2 linked regions of the Tribolium castaneum genome follow. The protein of the gene in region 1 interacts with the protein of each later gene in a biochemical or structural test. Links are inferred from orthologs where the notes say so. Each region holds a gene or a part of one and is shown in the gene's direction. Other genes may lie near its edges.

What was found. The genes of interacting proteins can lie anywhere in the genome.
Region 2: of the proteins of Lrrk (region 1) and Thor, one has a biochemical effect on the other in vitro, tested with the Drosophila melanogaster proteins (2 studies listed by BioGRID). The link is inferred for Tribolium castaneum from reciprocal best matches to the Drosophila melanogaster genes Lrrk and Thor.

The regions. Positions count from the first base shown.
Region 1 is NC_087397.1:4,499,659-4,503,361, reverse strand, and holds part of Lrrk (leucine-rich repeat serine/threonine-protein kinase 1), read left to right. Parts: coding exon 1-172; intron 173-1,498; coding exon 1,499-1,671; intron 1,672-1,720; coding exon 1,721-2,310; intron 2,311-2,356; coding exon 2,357-2,833; intron 2,834-2,883; coding exon 2,884-3,214; intron 3,215-3,703.
Region 2 is NC_087399.1:195,737-198,869, reverse strand, and holds Thor (eukaryotic translation initiation factor 4E-binding protein), read left to right. Parts: upstream 1-1,257; 5' UTR 1,258-1,325; coding exon 1,326-1,467; intron 1,468-2,045; coding exon 2,046-2,257; 3' UTR 2,258-2,472; downstream 2,473-3,133. Other genes in the region: NFU1 iron-sulfur cluster scaffold homolog, mitochondrial, read right to left, coding at 1-163, 213-286; glyceraldehyde-3-phosphate dehydrogenase, read right to left, coding at 2,839-3,112. UniProt on the Drosophila melanogaster protein: Repressor of translation initiation that regulates eIF4E1 activity by preventing its assembly into the eIF4F complex. Hypophosphorylated form competes with eIF4G1 and strongly binds to eIF4E1, leading to repress translation.

The DNA.
Region 1 (3,703 bases):
TGATAGTAAAAAGTACAAAACAATGGATATTGTGGGTTATTTGAAATCGGTGCTTGAGGATGCGAGACCTTACGCTCGCATGAAATTAATGATAGTGGGAGTGCAAGGAATTGGGAAAACGAGCTTGTTGGAACAGTTGCGACAGGAAGGGATAACGAGGAAACGGCCAGAGGTAAAACTGCGCAATAACTTTGTTTTCATTCGAGAAAAACTCAATTTAAGTCTAGCCTAGTGAAGTCCAAGACCAGCAAATATTTCCTGAGACAATTTTCTACTTTTTCGTTTAATCACGCTTTTTAAAAATTATTTATAAAAAGTCTAAGTATTTGTGATTGTGTAAATTAAACAGAAAAATTAATAACAATGACGGCACGTGTTCAGGTGTCATATAGGTCAGTTAAATTTTCGGTTACCTCTAGTTAACCAAATATTTTTTAACGCTCCCAGTTTGCTACTTCTCCGATTTTCATAAATTAATAATTTAATATTGAACTAGATTTTATTTACAACGTAATTCATTTTTATCCAAACTGCACTTGTACTTAAATAATCATAATGTAACACTTGATGATAAGAGGAAGAAAAATTGGAGTCACCTTATGGCATCTATTTCTGCTACCGTTTGTAGCTAGCTTCATTTTCTTTAACGGACCTACTGAAATTAAAGAAATATTAAATCAATACGATGTGCCATTATTTGAATTTAAAATATTTTAAATTTAATCTATCTTTTTAAAGAAGCACGTAAAGAAAACTAACTCTTTAATCCAGATTATTTCTTTTATTTCCCCCTGGAAGATCCATTTTATTGGCACACACTAGCACTAGCCACTCGAAATTTTAAAAAACGGGCACTGAAATAAACACGCCCTGATCACTGAAAATAAAATTGGACAAAACGACATGGTTTATGTTTCCAACATAGAGAAATGTGTCTGTTTACGACAACAGCAAGTGACAAACTGAATAATATTAAACAGATCATTAATTGTGTAAGACTATGAATAAATCGTCATTAACAAAAAATATAATCTGTTTATGTAACTTATCGCAGCAAAAGGAGAAATAAAGCAAACAAAGGCTGATCCAAAATTTTGTAAACAAACATCTTTTAAATTATTGTATTGGGTGGACGACAATATAACAACAATTCTGTTGTTATATTCAAGTTTCATTAAACAATTTTAACGTTTTCTAGGTATAATTATTTAAGAACTTGACTAAAATACAATGAAAATTTTTTCCTGGTTTAATGTTTTCTAAGTTAAAGCCATCTCCATACGTATTTCAAATCGACCAGCTCAGTTTAATATAATTTTTACGGAGCTTTATATTCATTTATTCGTTAATTTTAACGTATTTAAATAAATAAAAAAAATAAAGGGAGGAGAAATGCTGGTCAGGGTATTTACGAATTACTCATTAAACACTTGAAGTAAAACGAATTCATTTATTTTGAGTAAAGTGAAAAGTGTTACCCAAAGTTGCCCATTTTCAGCACTGGGCCAAACGCATGGGAAACAAAAATATTAACGTAAAAACCTCTCGAGGCACAAATATGTCAACAGTTGGGGTAGATATCGGCGATTGGGTGTATGAAAAAAAAGTCCGTAATCAATCATCACACGGTCCTGTAATTTTCAGAACGTGGGATTTTGGTGGACAAAAAGAGTAAGTGTTAAAACACCTCAATCCCACTTTTATTACCACTCAAATCCAGATATTACGCCACCCATCAGTACTTTTTATCAAAACGAAGCTTATATTTGGTCGTTTGGCGAATAACCGACGGCCATCGCGGCATCAACGAGATTTTGCAATGGCTTGTTAACATCCAAGCCCGGGCACCAAACTCTCCTGTAATCATAGTCGGCACACACTACGACGTGGTGCAAGAATGTAACCCTAACATCTCGGAAGAGTACCAGCAATTAATTCGCGACAAGTTTATCAATATTGTTGATGCGGAAAAATGCGGCTTGCCTCGAGTTCTGGACACGATTGAAATCAGCTGCAGGACTAGACACAACGTGAAGTTGCTGTGTAATTTAATCTACGACACCGTGTTCAGTTTACGGCCACCAGGAAGCAAGGAATTGTTGTTGGAACAAAAAGTACCGGCCACGTACTTGGCATTAGAGGATGTGGTTAATCACATCGCGGCCGAACGGCGGGTCAATGGGCTTGACCCGGTCCTGAATGCCGAACAGTACCGGACTATTGTAACGACGGAAATGCAGCAACGGTTCAATCGGGTGTTCAGGGACTGGGCTGAGCTCCACCAAGCCACCTTATTTTTGCACGATAATGGTACTTATTTAATTTTTTAATTTTTCATTTCTCATGGTTATGGCAGGTGTTTTGCTGCATTACGACGATGCAACTTTGAAAGATCTCTACTTTTTGGACCCCCAGTGGCTGTGCGATATGTTAGCACATGTTGTTACCATTCGTGAGATTAATCCTTTTGCGCGCTCCGGTGTCATGAAACTTGACGATCTCAAGCACATTTTTAAAGCTAGTAGTATCGGACCAATGGATGCGCGTGGTTATATCGTCAATTTGTTGAATAAATTCGAAGTTGCGCTAACTTGGGATTCCCGCACTTTGTTAATCCCGTCACTTCTACCCTCGGAAGAGGATATTCTCCTAGCGCAGTTATACCCCGGCCAATTTCACCCTTTAGTCAAGGTTAAAGTGCCGCTAAGGTCACGCGGATGGGCAATCAGGAATAAAAAAATAACTGTTTCGCCAAAATCGGTCTTGTACCGGGATACGGGCGCCCAGGGCAAGTTTCAAATGAGTTTGCCTTCGACTTCGTCTTCGAAAAGTGGTCAGTTTGGTCAATGTTAAAAAATTGGGGGTTTTATTCTCAAATTTTAGAAGAAATTGAAGAGGAGGCAAAGTATCAAGTGACGAGTTCGTCAACTGACCAATCAATCACCCGACTGCTTTTAATGTCGTACTTCCCGTCAGGGTTTTGGTCACGACTTATTTCACGAATTTTGGCCGACGACACTATTATTGATATTATACGATCATTTTTTATTCTCCCGAAAGAGGTGGCGCAGGATTTAGATCTGGTCAAGTTGCTAGATTTGAAGGCTGAATGGGTGCTTTGGCAAACCGGCCTTCAGCTGAAATACGGCGATATTACGTTATTCCGAATGAGGGAAATTTTGCACAACTCTTCGTCCTACTACCGACAGTTGAAGTGAGTTTAGCCGATTTTTGCGCACTTTCAATGCGAAACGACAAAAAAACTATATTAAAATGAAACTGAACCAAAAAATATCAGGCAGATAGAACATTAATTATTATTCAGACATTCCATAACTGACGGGACACTTTACACAAAATTTTTAGACTTTATTTTCACTTTATACGAATAGTTTGAAATAGCCAGAAACTACAAAAATATCCTTCAAAAAATATTCAGCAGCAGTTGTACACGTCAGTATTTTATGTTATTGCCTACAAGGCATAGTATGTAACTTTTACAAATATTACTTCAATTTAAATGATTGTTTCTATTAAAAACTTTTTTGTAGCAAAATACATTAAATACAAATCGAATCGTGTATTTTGGAAGAACTGTAACATTACAAAAATTAGTTTGAAATTTCGGTATGAGGTTGCATTTTTCCTGGAATGGCTGTAATATTGTTTATGACAAAGTGTTTGAAGCAACTTTTTGATTCAA
Region 2 (3,133 bases), on another chromosome or scaffold:
AAAATCTATAGTTTGGCCCTCCTCTAGAACTTTAACCCCTGGCAAAAACTTGAGACTGTTTGGATTTGGGGTCTCTTGAGTCTGAATAAACATTGATAACTTTGGAGTGGTTGAGATAAAGCGTTGGAGTCCACTGTCTCGGAAAGGGGCCCACTGAAGGGAACTACAACCATATAACCTCACTTTTTATTCTTTCTTACATAAATACTTACTTGTAGGACTGCACAGCAAGTTTCTTGGATTGCTGAGGCAACTTTACCAAAAATCGAAGTGAATTACGCCACATTTTAAGATTTGCTTATTTTAATTTTATGGTTAGAATACCGACATTTGACAGATTGGTTGAGTCAATATTTTCTGCTTAAATTGGAGAATTTACAATATGTCTTTGGTAATTAAATTCACAAAGGTGGGAAAATTTAAGGCTACGAAAATTACACTGCAAGAGTTTGGCTTTTTAAATTCTGTTTATATAAAAAGCGCGGTTTTCAAATTTTCATAATTAATGCAAATAAATGTATGGCATTAAACTTTTATTTATCGCTTTTGTTTATCATGAAAAGTGACTCTGTCTTCTTAAAACTGAAACAGTTATCCGATAAATTATTCTGATATTGCCACAGGGGTACATTTATAAATCAGTCCAATAAAATCCGTTATTTATAATTGCTACTTGTGTTTTTATTAGTTCCTGACGTTTCTGTTTACGAATTTTCAAAATATTGACCTTTATTATTCGTACGGGACTGATTTCTTTTTTATTTATTTATGTTTGAGTCATATATAGTTCGATCAGTGAAAAAAACTATTTGCTAGGTTGGTTATGAAAAAATAGTCTCAGATGCCCACAAGTATTAAAGTAAATCAAACAATAAATCGATTTCGGGTTAACGATGCGTACAAATACCTGAAATTTATGAAGCACGACTCAAACAATCGAACTCGGTGACTCACATTTGCTCCTCCATTGGAGGAAATCAAATAATTATTGATAACGCAGTTCCGCAATTCACACCCAGCCAACAATCCCAAACAACGCATTTTTTTACATAATTTATGTGAAAAAACCTGCACCTAATACGCATTTGACTGAATGCTAATCAACAATAATAAATAAATCCTTGGAGGTGGTTGAAAGTTTCAACTTGAAAATTTTAAAGCTTTTCAAGATCCCCCCCAAAGCGCGTTTATTTGTTTATTTTTCAGCTTAAAAGTGGGAGAAATGCACAGTTTGGGAGGGGATTAGCGCTCCTTATATAATTTGAGTGAGCGACGACAAAATTGTTGTTTTCGAGTATTAAGCACGTGTTTTTTTCCACTCCGACATGTCGGCATCACCGATGGCAAGACAAGTGACCGAAAGTAAGGCCATTCCGACCAAAAAAGTCCTTATCAACGACCCTTCTGAACTGCCATCGCACTACTCCTCCACACCAGGAGGCACCCTCTACTCCACTACTCCGGGAGGTTTGTTATGTTTTTTTGAGTCATCTACATATAAATTTATAAATAAATAATCAATTTGCCACTTGTTATCTGCGCGACTAGAGTTCATCGTGGTCTTATGTAATTATACTTAAAAAAAAAACAAGACTCGGATGAGCGTTGTCTACACGTGGAGAATTTATAATGTGACCTTGAGTAAACATTGGTGATAATAGTAAACATGAGTTAATTCTGGCAAGCTGCGAAATACGCAGTTTTGCAAATATTTCCCTCAAAAATTCACAAAAAATTCCTTTGACCTAATCCAACACTGATAAGTCGGGAGAACTTGACCAGACGCACGTTCGTGTTCTTGTGTTTTTGCTTTTGTTATTATTAATTAGTGTCAAGGCTTTTTATTTTCGTCGCTCCACATTTCTTCCGCTTCATCGTCTTTGATTTTAAGAAATTCGCCAAATGCACAATTCATTGATGTTTATTATGCAAAACAACACGATAAAAAGTCCTTGGATCTGAATTGTACTCATCTCTTGTCTATATCTTATCGAAGAAGCCTCTCGACGGGAGAACCTTATTTTTACGTATGAATCATGTTTCAGGTACGAAAATAGTCTATGAGAAGGCATTCTTAATGAATTTACGCAACTCTCCCATTTCGAAAACTCCTCCAAGTTACGGAATCCCTGAAAACTTGATGCGAGGCAAAACGAATGGAAGCGCCCCCATCAGACGGTTTTCACCTCCGACCAAAAACCACTCAGCGAAAATTGAAGATTCGCACGACGAACACCAGTTCCAAATCGACATTTAGTTTTACGTTTTTCTCTAGTTTAGTTTTTTTTTGTATTGTGAGAGGATACTCGAAGTCAGACTTGATCTTGTATTATCTGATCAAAAGATTGAGTTTTATTGTTATAAAAGTTAAAACGTAGAAAATTGACAACTGATAAGGGATTTTACAATGGTGATAAGTCGCACAACGACTTAATTATACGCAAACAAAGGGAGGACATATGCCCGCTTTAAGATTTGTTATTATTTTCTTTTGTATTATTTAATGCTTTTCGTAATAAAATTTCAGAAAAAATGGGATGTTTTATTTATTTGCCTAACAACTGCTATCGCAACGATAAGGATTTATTTAGCACAGTTTGTTGAACTAATATCCGGAAATTGTATTATTTAAAATTGCCACCATACAATCGACACCAAAAAGGTGGACTCAATAATTTAATTAATAGTAAGTAAATTAAACTCATCTCGTTACAAACACTAACCTCCACTTACTTACCTTTCTTTTTACCTAACTCGTGGCCGCTCCAGCGATTAAAAAACTAAAACGCAAGGTGCGCTAACAAACAGGTCGGCTCATAGTTCAAAAAATAATTTATTTTAATTATCACACTCTCTCGACGACATGTACTTTAACAAATCAACAACACGGCACGCGTAGCCCCATTCATTATCATACCAACTGATCAACTTGATAAAGTTTCGAGTAAGGGCCACACCAGCCCCTGCATCAAAAATCGAAGATCTCGAGTCGCCGATTACATCAGATGAGACAATTTGGTCGTCAGTGTAAGCCAAAATGCCGTTCAAATATCCATCAGCGGCTTCCTTAACTTTGCATTTGATGACTTCGTAATCAGCGGGAGTGTCAATGCTTTTCAATTTTTTTAATAAA